Caenorhabditis elegans: one gene and its partner. The protein of the gene in region 1 purifies or fractionates together with the protein of each later gene. This does not show direct contact. Each region holds a gene or a part of one and is shown on either strand. Other genes may lie near its edges. The genes, in order: scl-3 and F16H6.8.

Region 1 (8,427 bases):
AATGGCATTTTCAGAATCACGGCGCCACATTGAGAGTCGAGACAGATGGAAAACTGAATATTGGGCGTTTTCGTCATAAGAAACTTCTTCATGCAAATTCAGCTGATGAAATCACTCGTGGAGATGATATTCCTAATTTGGAAAGAAAAAAGTCGGGTTCAATGCCAGTCAAACATTTGAAAACATCGTCGTCGTCGTCGCCGTCGCACTCGAACGGCAAAAGCAAGGGCGGAGAGGGGCTTTCTCTTGGAAAGATTTAGACTGAAATTAATAGTTTGTGTATAATTTCCAATATTTTTTGCAAGAAAAGTGTAAGAAAAATTTTGAATTTTTTGAATTTTCAGGTTTTTTTTGACAAAATTCAGTACAAAATGAATGACTAAAATGAATAAATATTTTATTTGAAAGATAATAACAATGCAAGCGTTTTCAAACGTGCGGTATAATTGTTTCTGACTCCAATCATTTAGACCAAACAAAAAAATCAAATGATGATTTCACAAAAACTACAGTAGCAATAGTTCCATCTTCCCTTTCGATATCCCAACCATCGGAACAATCAAATTCTTGAAAACCGATTCTGAAATTGGAAATTGATACCGTATTTCCTATGTCAGTTTAGCATCCCTACAGATTTTTAAGTAAATTAGAAATTTATTCACTTGTTGCCAGACCTACACATTGTTTGAAATAAATAAATAAATAAATAATTTTTTTGCCAAAGAACAATCATTTTTCCTTTTTACCACTAATACCTGTATACTTTTTCTCGGCGTACTTCGTCCCATCGACTAACTACTATTTCATTCAACACCACTACCCAATCTCTTATTTTGAAATCATGGTCCAAGTGGAATCTTCTCAATTCTTTCATGTTTCCGTTTAATCAATTACGGATAAAATGATTCAAGTATTCTGGAGTAAAGCTATGGTTCCATATTGTCAGTTCTTCACACTTCATCAATTTGAAGTCCTCAAGTGTAAATCCTGGATTGAAGTAAGAATCCAGTCGGCGAATATTGAATAAGTTAAATTTAAAATTACAGATAAATTACGATTTAGTTTATTATAATTATTAATATTAATGAGGAAATCAGTACTTACTATATTTTTTGTCAAAGTATAAAGTTTTGTTAATAAAGTTTTGTTCCAGTTTTTTGCTTGATTCTCTAGTAATTATTCGAGTACAAACCAGGGGTGGGCGGCAAATTTACCAAATTTGCCGAGTCGAAAAGTGTGTGGGTTTGAAGCCCGATAGCATAATATTTTCAGTCCGGCTGATCTTTTTGATATCCGTAAAAAGCTCAATTTGTTGTTGTTATTGACCAAATCGTTTGGATCATTTATGAGTTTTCTCTACAATGGACAAAAATAAAGATTGTTGTTGTTTACGTTTTGCAAATATTAAAAGTTATTTGAAAATCTCGTACTTGATTAAAAAACTCCTCTCATAAAAAGCAGCACGTTTGCAACTTTAAATCATAATTTTGTTTGCCATGTACTTCATTCTCTGCCTCCTAGCAATTGGTGTCAATGCTCAATTCACTTCAACTGGTCAATCAAGCATTGTGGATGCTCATAACAAATTGAGATCCGCTATTGCAAAGAGTACCTATGTTGCGAAGGGAACCAAAAAAGAACCAGCAACTGATATGAGGAAAATGGTAGGTTTTAAATTGCCCAATTATGTCAAATAAAAAACTTAAAGTTTTCTTTTTTCAAGAGTTTCAAGTCATTCAAGTTGGGGTAACTTTTGGCAATCATATTTGAACAAAAAGCCCAATGATGATACTTCAATAAACTTTTCAGGTCGTGGATTCCACCGTAGCTGCGTCGGCTCAGAATTATGCGAATACGTGCCCAACTGGACACTCAAAGGGAACTGGATATGGGGAAAATTTGTATTGGTCTTGGACTTCTGCGGATGTTGGATCCTTGGATTCCTATGTGAGTCGCATAACTTTTCTGGGACAGAAATCAATAATTCTTTCCAGGGAGAAATCGCCGCTGCCGCATGGGAAAAGGAATTCCAAGACTTTGGCTGGAAGTCTAACGCAATGGATACCACCCTATTCAACAGTGGAATAGGACACGCTACTCAAATGGCTTGGGCAAACACCAGCTCCATCGGGTGTGGAGTCAAGAATTGTGGACGAGACGCATCGATGAGAAATATGAACAAAATAGCTGTAGTCTGCCAGTATAGTCCACCGTAAGCACTGAAGTTTTTGATTTTTTTTAACTCAAAATTGTTCAAAAATATTCAGAGGAAACACTATGGGACGGCCGATTTATAAGGAAGGAACTACGTGTTCCAGCTGTTCCGGATCTACTAAATGTGACACTGCTTCTGGGCTTTGCGGATAATGAGAGATTTCACTTTTTGTGTCTGTAATTTTTTAATTTATTTGTTTTGTTTTAATCTGGGAATTAATTTACTAATGAAGCATTTGTTTTTTCTTGGTGATTATATAAAAAAAATAAAGCGAAAACTTTAAATTACACCAAACTTTTTTAAAATTTACGAAAATGCACACAACATCAAGTGCAGGCAAAAGTAAAACATTCTACTTGCCTATGTGCCAACAACAAAATTAGGAAGAAAATTCACTTCTTCCTAATCAGAATACTTGTTGACTTGACTCAAATGTTCATAATTACTGATAAAAGTCAATTCTTTGGTCTTGTGCTGCCCACTTCCGATCATACGTAGCTTACGATTTCTCAATTATCATACAATTTTACAGGTTTTCGCGTGATAAGACTCCTATAAAATGAACCGCAGTGATAAACATATTCGTGTTGACTTGCACTTTTTTCTCCAATTATGAATTACTTGTTGCTGGTTGTGGCGCTTGCTGTTGGCTGCTCCGCTGATTTCGGCTCTTCCGGACAAAACGGAATTATCAATGCACATAACACTCTGCGGTCTAAAATTGCAAAAGGTACCTACGTGGCAAAAGGAACTCAGAAATCGCCGGGAACAAATCTGTTGAAAATGGTATGTACATAACTAAGGTTCTCAGATTTATTTTTGATTTCAACTTTTCAGAAATGGGATTCCGCAGTCGCCGCATCCGCCCAAAACTACGCAAACGGGTGTCCGACGGGACACTCTGGAGATGCAGGCCTTGGGGAGAATTTGTATTGGTATTGGACAAGTGGATCTCTGGGAGACCTCAATCAATATGTCAGTCATTTAGTCTACCTTGTGCCTGCCTGCCTAGACCTACTGCCTATTTTGTTCAAATTTTGCCTAAATACAACATGCGAATATTGGCAGTAGGCAGGAGGCAGGCGCTTGATACCTTCTTTATTTTAAAAGTTTCTGAAATTTCTATAATCAATCTTTTCATTCAGGGATCTGCTGCGTCGGCATCATGGGAAAAAGAATTCCAAGATTACGGATGGAAGTCTAACCTTATGACTATCGATCTCTTCAACACAGGAATCGGACACGCGACTCAAATGGCGTGGGCGAAATCCAACCTGATCGGATGTGGAGTCAAGGATTGTGGAAGAGACTCAAACGGCCTGAACAAAGTAACCGTCGTGTGCCAGTACAAGCCGCAGTAAGTGAGATTTGTTGACTAGTCTATGTTGACTGTGTCTGCGAATGTTGTGTTTTGTGTTGTTCTCTAGGATAGGTTTGCAAAAAAGATAAATTTTTGGTCACGTTCCCTGAAACAAAATCCAAAAAATTAGGCAATTTTCAACAAATTTTGATCATTTTGAGGAGATCATTAAAAACAAAAAACCCAATAAAAATTATACAAAAATACGAAAAATATTGTTGTTGGCGAAAAGTGAACTGTGCTTCGACAACTGGTAAAGTAGTCTTGAACACTTTGTGAGTTAGGATTTTTCTGAAGAGTAAAAAGTAGTTTTAGGAAAATTAATTTCAACCGAGACAAAATTTTTAACATAAAAAAAAATTGAAAAGTGTATGTGCGAGAGAGCCCTGTTGAATACAAGCTACTGTTTGCTAATACATCAATTTTCAGAGGAAACTTCATTAATCAATACATCTACGTATCGGGAGCAACCTGTTCCGGCTGTCCATCAGGAACGTCATGTGAGACTTCCACAGGGCTCTGCGTCTAAACTTTAATAATGCAATGTGTTTTCAAACTTTCTGTAGATAATAAATAAAATTGTGTGCTAGTTGAAAACCAGAACACAAACAACCTTTGATCAAAATGCCTATGTAACAAATGCGACGATTACGTGTTCGAAATCCTATTGGCAGATTTGGAGTATAATGAGCAGTTAGAACTTTATTGGGAGGTCAAAGACTACTTGTGTCTAGAGATGTATCTAAGTTATGAAAAAAGTTCAAGCTATAGGTTTTTTGACTACGATATCTTGTATGTATTTTCAAAGATGTTGGTGATTTAGTTGAAAGTTAACAGCTTGAAAACGTTTTTATTTTTCCGTTTCTGACTTCCATGAATTTCAAAAAATTACCGTATGTCTGTATTGTTACTATCTACTGTGTGAAATTTCAAAAAATGAAATCCAACTTCAGCCTCCCTTTTGTATATAAAACAAACAATGTCAACATAAAACTCTTACCAATTTAGTCTATTTCTATTAAAGCACACGTTCTTTAGTTTTTTCCCTCTTCCCATGACTTTTAGTTTCCCTCACGGCGACGACGACATCCAGTTGTTCATACAAACTAAAATCTCCTATAAATATCCAACCTACTAGTTGTATTTTCAACAGACAACATGCACACCTTTACTCTTCTCGTTTTGGTTACCCTTCAGATTGGTAAGTTTTTTTTTTGGAAATTTTTGAAACTAATTTTCTTCAATTTTTCAGGAGCTTATGCTCAATTCAGAGAAAGCACTCAACAATTCATTGTGGACCTTCATAATAAGCTTCGTACTTCAATTGCCAAGGGAACATATGTGGCTAAAGGGACAACAAAAGCAGCTGGTAGTAATCTTTTGAAAATGGTAGGTTTTCGGCAGTTAGTTACTTTGTGATTTTCCAATGAATGGAACCTTCAGTTGAAGGTCTTTGCTAGGTTCAAGTGCTCTTCAGAGCATTTTCTAAAGTTTCAGTCGGCTTCTCTACAGATCTGGGAGCACTTGATCTGGAGTTAATTAAAGGGTCTGATGTAGAGCTGGCGTAGACTTCTTAGACCTCGCCTACTATCGCCTACTACTCACTCCTTATACCTCCAATACCATTTCAGAAGTGGGACACCACATTGGCCACCGCTGCTCAAACTTTTGCTAACACTTGCCCGAGAGGTCACTCCAATGCAGCTGGAGTTGGAGAGAACTTGTACTGGAGATGGTCCAGCCTCCCATTCTCCGGAATGGATATCTATGGAGGAGCTGCATCTGTTGCCTGGGAACAAGAATTCCAGCAGTACGGATGGACAACCAACACTTTCACTCAAGCCCTTGCTAACACTGGAATTGGACATGCTACCCAAATGGCTTGGGCTAATACTGGTCTGATTGGATGTGGAGTGAAGAACTGCGGACCTGATCCAGAACTAAATAACTATAACAGAGCTGTTGTGGTTTGCCAATACAAGGCTCAGTAAGCATTTGAAGCAAACATGCACATAAAAACGATGAATTTTCAGAGGAAACTATTTGGGTCAAGACATCTACAAGTCAGGAACCACTTGCTCAGCGTGCCCAACTGGAACCACTTGTGAAGCTGCCACTGGACTTTGTGTATAAACTTGTGGAAAATGATTGAAACGTAGATAATATTTCAACACTGCCCATTGCATTCCAATATTCTTTCCATTGTGTAATAAATTTTCTTATATTTTTTTGATGGACTGGATAATAAGAAAAAAGCGGCCTAATGTGTACATGAGTCAGAGATCTATTGTATTCATTAAAAAATCTTCCAAACCAAAACATTATGCATAAACTACCTAATTAGTTTCTTATTTGTTCCTAATTTGGATCGAGCTTTTCATATAGGCACTAAAATCCCTTGCCTACCTGCCTTCAAGACGACCTACGCCTGGCTTATGCCTACATGGTGTAAACTCTGAACATCAGAGTTCCCAGCACCAGGCAGAGAAAAAGACACTGACGCCTGCCTACCTCCTATGAAATCCCTAATTTGAAGTTTAACCTTGCTCAAACGGGGCTCACTAAATACACAATGTGTCAAAAAATTGGCGAGACAAGTTTTGTACACCTGCTCGTTACCGCATGATCAACGATCTGTACCACGCATTTTCTCGAATGGAGCCTAGTTTACAAGCATCTGATTACACAAAATGGCTCATTGGATTATTGACTTAGAATAGGGGAAAATCGATCACGAACTGGAAATAAGAAGTTTACTCGAAAAAAGGTCTAACAATTTAATATTTCTGGTTACTTGGCAATTTTAGAAAATATTTTACAGTAACAACTTTTCTTGGACTTTCAAAGAAAAAGTGCCCTAACCGTTTTTTAAGAATTAAAAAAAATTTTAAGAAGCTTCCAGGATGTTAGCCTACTCCCGAAAATCTTTAAAATTTTGCTTTTGGGGTAGGCTCACGAGAAATTCGTTCTAAGTATGTAGATAACTATAATTTTTCTTCCGGGAATCAAAAATCATTGATCTTTGTATTTTCTTTGCGTACGTGTGTCTTTGTGTACGATTATCATAGTTTAAGTTTTTTTCTTCTTTTTCTGAAATATAACAATAAACTACACGAGAACATCTAGACGTATGTTTTGAAAATGTAAATTTGAGGTTTTCTGAAAATATAAAACTCTTGATCTCGAACTATTCGTGCATCAAACTAAGCCAGTTTTCTTCGTGATCTTCTGGATACTACATAAACTATATAAATATACAAAAACTATATTAAAACCTACGAAGTTTGATTTCGATATCGAAACAATGAGAACAACATTTCTCATAATTCTACTTAGTATACTGGCAATAGGTAAGGATAATATTTAACTCAAACGAACTAAATATATTTATGTTACAGGTAGCTCTGCTCAATTTGTGGCAAATACCCAACAATTTATAGTGGATATTCACAACACGTTTCGTTCAAAGCTTGCACTGGGAACTTATGTATCGAAGGGTGTGACGAAGCCAGCAGCAAGTAACATGTTGAAAATGGTAAGTTATTTTTGAAGTTGTGTTAGAGCACCATTTTATTGGCTTATATCTGCTCGAAACTTTGCAATTGGAAAAAAAAATTAAAGGTAGGGGCTTAAATTATTAAAAACCTCCAATAGTGTTGACCAAAATCGCAGTAAATATTCTTATAAAAATGTTTTAGTTACAGTCAAAAAGCGTTGAAAACTCAGTTTTCTTCAAAAAGATATCGACCAAAAAATATTTTCTACGAGGGCTACTTGTTTACTGATTAAAAAATTGTAGAAGTTTGAGCCAGCAGCAATTTTTCAAATTTAGTTTTTTAGTAATTCAAAAAGTCCACATTTTTAACAAAAAATTAACATTTTTCTGAGACTGAATTTTGAAAAATCTGAAATTTTGGAGTGTTTTGTTCCAGATCTGTCATGTTGGACTATTGTAAGTATAGTTAAACTAAATCCCCCATTGGCGATATTCCACCTTCAATCAAGTCTTCACAAATGAACACCTAATCCTCCAATTTTATAGAAATTGAACATCACACTGACTGTCTCAGCTCAAGCCTACGCAAACACATGCCCAAAAAATCACTCGAATCTCGAGTTGGGGAAAATATCTACTATAGATACACCACTGCGCCATTTTCCGGTATGAATGTTTATGGCGGAGCTGCGTCAGTCGCATGGGAGCAAGAAGTTCAGAGAAATGAATGGCCATCGAATATAATCTCAATCGATGTTTTGCTCGTGACCGATGAACTCAGAATCATTTTGCACGCAACACAAATGGCATGGGCAACATCTGGACAGATTGGATGTGGAGTTAAAAATTGTGGAAAGGATATGCCAGATAGACCAACTTTTAATCGAGGAGTCGTTGTGTGTCACTATAGCTCTTTTTAAGGAAAATAGCAAAAAACATTAGAAAAAGACTACGCAAAAATTACAGCAAAATGTCTAGGAGCCAAGATTTAGCGGAGCGTATTTTGGCTTAACGCAAAAATTTTCTTTGCATTTTTGCATCTTTTTAGGTTTTTTTTGTACTTTGGTCTAAAATTATTCTTAAAAAATTCTTTCCACGACACATACTACCTTTCTATCACAAAACTAAACATTTACAGAGGTAACATAATCAACCAGCAAGTGTATCAAACCGGGCCAACCTGCTCTGCTTGCCCAACCGGGACCACTTGTGAAACTGCAACCGGGCTATGTGGCTAATGCAACGAATTCAGAATTCTTTATTTTTTACAAGTTACTGCCAAATTAACCCAATATGCTTTCTGTGATAACCTGAAATAAAGCGTCTAACTTTTTGAATTTGAACATTGAAATATTG
Region 2 (8,887 bases), on another chromosome or scaffold:
GCGGCTTTTACTACGTGGCCTAGAAAAATCAAAAACTCGGCCAATAATTTATCTGGGATTTTTGACGTGGGATGTTTCTGAAACTTGACGAGAATGTTCTCGAAAAGGGGTTCTATAGTTCCACCGTAGCGATTTTTGAGAAAATGTTCCGTATCCATATTGTGAAGGTGGCCGAGTTTTCCTATTTTACGGCCACGTAGTAAAAACCGCTCTGTGCTTTAAAAAGTAAGCAAATTATAAGAAATATCAGAAGAAAACGGAAAAAAGAGTTTCAAAAAGGCACAGTTTCCGTCTCATGAAAAATATCTCTAAAAATTTCCGGCAAATCTGATATCCGACAAACGGCAAATCGGCAAGTTAGCAAAAATTAAATGTTCCGGCAAATCGGCAGACGGCAAATTGCCGATTTGCCGAACGACAGGTCATACTTGACTAACTTGACCTACCTTTTGTGAACATTCTTTCACAAGCATTGTAGTAATATGAATCACTCATCAGGGCACCCATTGCGGTTGCAGATCTGGATCGAACTGCTTCCAATAGCGAATCCAGGAAAACTAGCAATACTTGTCTTTTCTGATCAACTTGACCGACGCTTTTTTGACAGTGAAACTGCTTCGCATGAATCAGAAGTCCACCATTCCCGGCCACCGCTACACCGAATCGAATATCAATTGGTACAGAACGCAGCCCGGTCACAGTGATGTCGACCAGATAATACTCAGGTAATTCTATGACTTCAATGACATCGAACTCCACTTCCCTGTCGGCTGGTCGGTTGACAAGACGTTGAATTATTTCTTCTGAAAAATAAGAAACTATTCATTAGTTCCATAACCAATCTGAATTACCCTTTGAGAATGTTCTATCGCACGCTTCAAAGATATACTTGTCATATATCAGATCGCCAATTGCGGATGGAGATCTTGAATGAATTGCTTCCAATAGTTGATCCAGGAAATCATTAATCACACTTTTTGTCTGAGTGACCTGACTGACTGCGTTTTGGCAGTTGAATTGTTTTGCATGAGTCAAGAGAGCACTGTTCCCTTTGACCTTTACATCAAATGCAATATCAATTTGTACAGATCGGAGTCCGGTTACAGTGATGAGGACGGTAAAATGTCCCGCATTTTCTTTATAGGCTGTGATATTGAACTCAACATTTCTGTCTGCTGGTAGGTTGACAATACGTTCAATGATTTTATCTAAAATATAGGAGAATAATCATTCGGGGCATACAGGGTTGGTCAGGATTTTGTGGACGCAAAGACGTGACAGATTGCATAAGAAATGAGCTACTTATTTAGAACAGTGCGTCCAACTTCTATAGGACCCCCCTCAGTTCTGGTGGTTTGAGATTTACTGAACATTTTCGTGAAAAACTGCCAATGCCATTCGATTTTAAATGTCAAAAAACATATACCCGTATAATTTCATGATGATAGCTCAAAAACTACGCGCGCCCGGGCTGAAAGTCAAAAAAACGGCCGTCCAACTTCTATAAGACCCCCAGTTTTTTGAAATTTTATCGAAAAAAGCACTGAAATTTTAAAAACTTATCAAATTATTTTTTTGAGATGTTTACATAAAAATGATCTAAACATCTCAATTGCTCATAACAAACTAAAATATGTCACGCGAAAGTGCTGGGAAGCAACCGGGACCGTTCTGTACCTCATTTTTGAGCTTGAGAGTCCAGTACTTTGCTTCCAGTAGTCCTAATATCACAAAAAGTTTGGAAAATGTTAGTGTACATCCAAAGATTGTTCCTGTGAAATTTCGTCTAATTTGGAGTATTTTCAGATGTTTTATGGCAAAAATAATTCAATGACACAGGTAGCTGAGGCATTTTTAACCAAAAAATTTGGCTTACAAACTATTTTTGCCATAAAACATCTGAAAATGCTCCAAATTAGACAAAATTTCACAGGAACAATCTTTGGATATACACTAACATTTTCCAAACTTTTTGTGATATTAGGACTACTGGGAGCAAAGTACTGGGCTCAGAAGCACTGAAAAGTGGTACAGGACGGTCCCGTTTGCTTCCCAGCACTTTCGCGTGACATATTTTAGTTTGTTATGAGCAATTGAGATGTTAAGATAATTTTTATGTAATCATCTCAAAAAAATAATTTGATAAGTTTTTAAAATTTCAGCCGTTTTTTTGACTTTCAGCCCGGGCGCGCGTAGTTTTTGAGCTATCATCATGAAATTATACGGGTATATGTTTTTTGACATTTAAAATCAAATGGCATTGGCAGTTTTCCACAAAAATGTTCAGGAAGTCTCAAACCACCAAAATTGAGGGGGGTCCTATAGAAGTTGGACGCACTGTATAAGACCTTAAATTTTGGTATACTAGGTTTAGAAAATCAGTAACATTTAAATAATGTGGAGCAGCTGGATGATTAAAGGAAGCTGGATAAGCTACCGTATTTCTTCTATTAATATGGCTGCAATACTATTTTTCGATGGCCTTCCCGTTTGCAATACTATTAGGGAGTGCAAGTCTAATAGGGAGGCCATATTAATAGAAGATATACGGTTCTTCAGATTTCAAATTTTGGACTAAAACTGAGTGTTATAACAACACGTGGTGCCAGGCTGACCCATTAAATTCTGATCTACAAAAAAAAGGCGGGAATTGTTTTCCAAAATAAAGTGACGTCAGCACTCTTATGCGAAATATGGTGAACAGTCTGCGTGATCTACGTAGATCAAAATGATGAGGCATCAAAACACTCTGACACCACATGTGACATGAATCATGTATTTGTCATAGTGTTAATCTAGCTGTATGACCAACATAATTATGATCGCTCACCCTTTGAGACGTTTCTTTCACAAGCTTCAAAGATATACGAGTCCGTCATCAGGTCGCAAAGGGCAGATGCTGATCTTGATCGCATTGCTGCCAACAACGAGTCCAGGAAAACAAACAGATTTTTGGTCTTATCTACCAGATTAGGGTTGTTAGGACAATGCAATTGTTGTGCTTGAACCAGAAGTATAGTATTCTCTTTCACACCTACAGCGAATCTGATATCAATTGGAACAGAACGGAGTCCGGTCACAGTGATGTCGACCAAATAATATATCTCATTAATTTCTACAATACGTTTGACATCAAAATCAAAAGTTCTGTCGGCTGGTCGGTTGACAAGGCGTTGGACGATTTCGTCTAAAGAATAAAAAACCACTCATCAGTCTCATAACAAATCTGAATTACCTTTTGAGAATTTTCTTTCGCACGCTACAAAGATATATTTGTCATCTATGAATGCGCTAATTGTGGTGGCATCTCTTGATCGAATTGCTATCAATAGTGAATCCAGGAAAATGTTTATTACACTCTTTCTCTGATCAACCTGACTGACGGCGTTTTGGCAGTTAAATTGTTTCGCATTAGTCAAGAGAGCACTATTTCCCAAAATCTCTACATCAAAGGCAATATCAATTGGTACAGATCGGAGCCCGGTTACAGTGATGAGGACGGTAAAATGTCCCGCATTTTGTTTATAAGCTGTAACAATGAACTCGACATTTCTGTCTGCTGGGAGGTTGACAATACGTTCGATGATTTCGTCTGAAATATAGGAGAATGTTCAAAAGTTATATAGATACAAGGTGGATCATGATTTTGTGAGATCGTCATTCGCTAGGAATTCTCGATAGTTTACTCGTGCAATCCGAATTAAGATCGTATTCCTTGTAAAAACTAACTTTGGATAATGGCAAACATGTTTGGAACACGACTTATGTTAAAATTTACGAGACAACATTTTGTGCCTAAAACTAGGGCTCCCGCAAAGGCGCCTCCGCCGGCCTCAGCTGTCGCCGCGCCGGCCTCACGGCGTCATCCACGCCGCATGTACAATGAGGTGCGTAACCGCGAACGTCAGAACTGGTCAATTTTCTTTTAATTCAATCAGAAACTCAGAAAAATCCAAATTACGAGCAGTATGTAGTCTACTGGTAAACTAGCCTTTTCTTTCGAAATTTATACGCTCGGGCTGGAAAGAGCCTCTCATAATGGGCAGAAGCCCTGGCAAGAGGAACTTTTGACAACTTGTAAAGTAAGGGCGCTATAAGGTCATAAGCTGAATGTACCCTAATGTATAGTGCGACGCGGAACCCCGAACGTGTCGGCCGCTTCAAATAACTACCTCTCGCACATCATTTCACGCACACTGCGGCGCGCGGCTTCAGCGCGCGGCTTCGGCGCAAGGCCGGCGGGCGTGAAGCCGGCGTGAGGCCCGCATTTCGCGCCTCACTCAGCTGGGAGCCCTACCTAAAACTGAGTTTTATAACAACACATGGTGTCATTCTGTACCATTACAGGTTGATCTAAAAAAAATGAGAGAATGTTTTAAATCATGCAAAATTTGTTAAGAATTCTGACTCTGAATTTCCGCAAATCCTGGAAAATCTAAGTAGATCAAATCGAAAAGGGACACTCTGGCATTAAATGTAACATAAAGCATGTAGAAACAAAGGTGTATTACTTCGTCGACATCACTGTCACCGGACTCCGCTCTGTTCCAGTTGATATGAGATTTGTTGTAGATGTGACAGGGAATAGTACACTCTTGGCTTTTGCACAACAATTGAACTGTCAAAACAACCCCAATCTGGTAGATAAGACCAAAAATCTGTTTGATTTCCTGGACTCGCTGTTGGCAGCAATGCGATCAAGATCAGCATCTGCCATTGGCGCCCTGATTTCTGATTCATATGTATTCAAAGCATGCGAGAGAAAGTTTTCAAAGGGTAAGTGAAATAAAAGAGCACTGTAAAAGTCAGAATAATGCGGACTCGTTGAATGATTTGAATTGAATTGATAGTTCAATTAAGTTCCTTCCATTTACTTTAACATAAACCGTATCCCGCTGTTAAACTACTATAGATCCTTGTCAAATCAACTTTCTTACGACTTTTGGCGACTTGCATTTTTTGAGCCTTCAGGCTTACAACCCTGGGTTTTTACACAGATTTCTATACACTTAGCTTAGGTGAAATTATTTAGTGCAACTGGGGACACAGTTAGAGTAACCCTTGGACAAATACATGCTTTATGTTACATTTAATGCCAGAGTGTCCCTTTTCGATTTGATCTACTTAGATTTTCCAGGATTTGCGGAAATTCAGAGTCAGAATTCTTAACAAATTTTGCATGATTTAAAACATTCTCTCATTTTTTTTAGATCAACCTGTAATGGTACAGAATGACACCATGTGTTGTTATAAAACTCAGTTTTAGGTAGGGCTCCCAGCTGAGTGAGGCGCGAAATGCGGGCCTCACGCAGGCTTCACGCCCGCCGGCCTTGCGCCGAAGCCGCGCGCTGAAGCCGCGCGCCGCAGTGTGCGTGAAATGATGTGCGAGAGGTAGTTATTTGAAGCGGCCGACACGTTCGGGGTTCCGCGTCGCACTATACATTAGGGTACATTCAGCTTATGACCTTATAGCGCCCTTACTTTACAAGTTGTCAAAAGTTCCTCTTGCCAGGGCTTCTGCCCATTATGAGAGGCTCTTTCCAGCCCGAGCGTATAAATTTCGAAAGAAAAGGCTAGTTTACCAGTAGACTACATACTGCTCGTAATTTGGATTTTTCTGAGTTTCTGATTGAATTAAAAGAAAATTGACCAGTTCTGACGTTCGCGGTTACGCACCTCATTGTACATGCGGCGTGGATGACGCCGTGAGGCCGGCGCGGCGACAGCTGAGGCCGGCGGAGGCGCCTTTGCGGGAGCCCTAGTTTTAGGCACAAAATGTTGTCTCGTAAATTTTAACATAAGTCGTGTTCCAAACATGTTTGCCATTATCCAAAGTTAGTTTTTACAAGGAATACGATCTTAATTCGGATTGCACGAGTAAACTATCGAGAATTCCTAGCGAATGACGATCTCACAAAATCATGATCCACCTTGTATCTATATAACTTTTGAACATTCTCCTATATTTCAGACGAAATCATCGAACGTATTGTCAACCTCCCAGCAGACAGAAATGTCGAGTTCATTGTTACAGCTTATAAACAAAATGCGGGACATTTTACCGTCCTCATCACTGTAACCGGGCTCCGATCTGTACCAATTGATATTGCCTTTGATGTAGAGATTTTGGGAAATAGTGCTCTCTTGACTAATGCGAAACAATTTAACTGCCAAAACGCCGTCAGTCAGGTTGATCAGAGAAAGAGTGTAATAAACATTTTCCTGGATTCACTATTGATAGCAATTCGATCAAGAGATGCCACCACAATTAGCGCATTCATAGATGACAAATATATCTTTGTAGCGTGCGAAAGAAAATTCTCAAAAGGTAATTCAGATTTGTTATGAGACTGATGAGTGGTTTTTTATTCTTTAGACGAAATCGTCCAACGCCTTGTCAACCGACCAGCCGACAGAACTTTTGATTTTGATGTCAAACGTATTGTAGAAATTAATGAGATATATTATTTGGTCGACATCACTGTGACCGGACTCCGATCTGTACAAATTGATATTGCATTTGATGTAAAGGTCAAAGGGAACAGTGCTCTCTTGACTCATGCAAAACAATTCAACTGCCAAAACGCAGTCAGTCAGGTCACTCAGACAAAAAGTGTGATTAATGATTTCCTGGATCAACTATTGGAAGCAATTCATTCAAGATCTCCATCCGCAATTGGCGATCTGATATATGACAAGTATATCTTTGAAGCGTGCGATAGAACATTCTCAAAGGGTAATTCAGATTGGTTATGGAACTAATGAATAGTTTCTTATTTTTCAGAAGAAATAATTCAACGTCTTGTCAACCGACCAGCCGACAGGGAAGTGGAGTTCGATGTCATTGAAGTCATAGAATTACCTGAGTATTATCTGGTCGACATCACTGTGACCGGGCTGCGTTCTGTACCAATTGATATTCGATTCGGTGTAGCGGTGGCCGGGAATGGTGGACTTCTGATTCATGCGAAGCAGTTTCACTGTCAAAAAAGCGTCGGTCAAGTTGATCAGAAAAGACAAGTATTGCTAGTTTTCCTGGATTCGCTATTGGAAGCAGTTCGATCCAGATCTGCAACCGCAATGGGTGCCCTGATGAGTGATTCATATTACTACAATGCTTGTGAAAGAATGTTCACAAAAGGTAGGTCAAGTTAGTCAAGTATGACCTGTCGTTCGGCAAATCGGCAATTTGCCGTCTTATTCGTTTGTGTGAAACACATCGAAAAAAGTGAAAAGCTGCCTGGCCTAGCTCCCTTCCGAATCCTGAGCAAGAGAAAATTTAATGCTTACATTGTTAAGCTTGGAGCACGAACGGATCAAAATCAAACGACGAGCACTAGGAGTTGATGGAGCAGACAGCGAGACTTCAGGTGTGGAACTTGAATCGAGTACTGATTTAGCGATTGATTGATGGAGACATGGCTGAGGGGGGAGGTCGATGTCACGTGAGAATTTTTAAATCTTAAAGAGAATAAACAAAAATTAATGATTTTGTCATGAAAGGTCAAACACGTTTCTGTTGTTGGCAGCAATATGAGAAAAAATAATCAAGCTGCAGAGTTGGTCGTTCTGGTCCTGGCGATGATGTGCTGTCGTTTCGGTTGGTCTTCCTGGCAATTTTTGCATTGAGATTATTGATCGGGCAAAATTTGGCATTTTAGCTAAAATCAGTACAATTTTTCGAAATTTTGAGCGGCGATAAAAAACTTTTGTAACGTTACTGAGAAGTTTCACTACGTAATTTGTTTATTTGAGCACGCCGACGCCGCGGTGTGTGTGCACAGAAGTGCGAGAGGTGGTTATTCGGAAGCAGCCGACACGTTCGGGTTCCGCAGCTTGCCGTGAAATGAGTAGCTTGGTGTGTGCGCAACGTAGTGCAAAGTTATTTGGAAGCGGCCGACACGTTCAAGGTTCCGCGCCGCGCTATCCGTGCGGCGTAAGGGATGCCGTGAGGCCGGCGCGGCGGCAGCCTTATTTTGGGTATATATAATACGTTCAAAATCGTCCAAACCGTTCGTCCTCCTTTAAAGTATTTTATTGAAAAAAAAACATGGTAATCAATAAATCTTATGAACATTTATCAACAAAAAAAAGTACAATTAATTAATTCAGACCATTTCCTCCAACTCCTTTCTGAGCTTTTTGCAATGGTTGAGAGCTTTACTCAATTCTTCGAATTTTAGCGTGAAGAAGTCGATCGATTTGTCTCGAGCCTCGGGCACATATTCTAAGAATTGGGTGATCTCTCGATTTTCCAAAGAATCTGTAATTCTCTCTATTGTTCTATGTATATTGCCTAAACAAACCTTCTAGTGGATATAGATTTGCCAACCCAATGAAGTAGGTGAACGCGCACATAAAAATGTAATGTACAAAGAAAAATACCCTTAGATACCAAAAAGATATTTTGTCAGCGACGAAGGAAACATCGTTTCGCATCGCAAACCCCATTTGGGTAACGATCAGGCTCATGATCATTCTAAACAAATCAAGGATCTAAATCGTGCTATTTTCGATGGTTTGAGGAGTTTTAAGCAACAAATATCCAATTCCAAAATGAACAGCTGAAATTTAACATGACTCTGGAAAATGCTACTGAAAACCAACCTAAAAAGAGAGCAAAGGCGATGAGACTACATTCGTATAATGGAGATGAGCCGATGGTACAAGCAGAAACGATCGTGCTCAATCCGCATGCGAAAAGTGCTTTCCAATTTTTGTCGCAACGGAATAGTCTCTCAATGATTGGTGGACCTGAAAAACGGGCTTAGATAAAGTTTTGGCAAATTGCCAGAATTTTGAAAACTATGAGTTTTCGAGGAAATTCAGACCAATGCCGCTGTTCCGACCCCTACAATGTTTTAATACAAATCATTAAACCAAAGCT

What was found.
Region 2: the proteins of scl-3 (region 1) and F16H6.8 fractionate together in Caenorhabditis elegans (co-fractionation; one large-scale study listed by BioGRID). This does not show direct contact.

Annotation. Positions count from the first base shown.
Region 1 is NC_003282.8:13,054,895-13,063,321, forward strand, and holds scl-3 (SCP domain-containing protein), read left to right. Parts: upstream 1-4,689; 5' UTR 4,690-4,733; coding exon 4,734-4,776; intron 4,777-4,827; coding exon 4,828-4,964; intron 4,965-5,206; coding exon 5,207-5,562; intron 5,563-5,608; coding exon 5,609-5,708; 3' UTR 5,709-5,801; downstream 5,802-8,427. Other genes in the region: F49E11.7 (Serine/threonine-protein phosphatase), read left to right, coding at 15-260; scl-1 (SCP domain-containing protein), read left to right, coding at 1,497-1,664, 1,810-1,947, 1,995-2,212, 2,268-2,367; scl-2 (SCP domain-containing protein), read left to right, coding at 2,828-3,001, 3,053-3,190, 3,361-3,572, 4,005-4,104.
Region 2 is NC_003283.11:18,211,945-18,220,831, reverse strand, and holds F16H6.8 (Mediator of RNA polymerase II transcription subunit 1), read left to right. Parts: upstream 1-4,556; coding exon 4,557-4,776; intron 4,777-5,971; coding exon 5,972-6,328; intron 6,329-6,376; coding exon 6,377-6,736; intron 6,737-6,784; coding exon 6,785-7,155; downstream 7,156-8,887. Other genes in the region: F16H6.9 (BPI2 domain-containing protein), read right to left, coding at 447-803, 852-1,208, 2,831-3,187, 3,236-3,592, 3,730-3,748.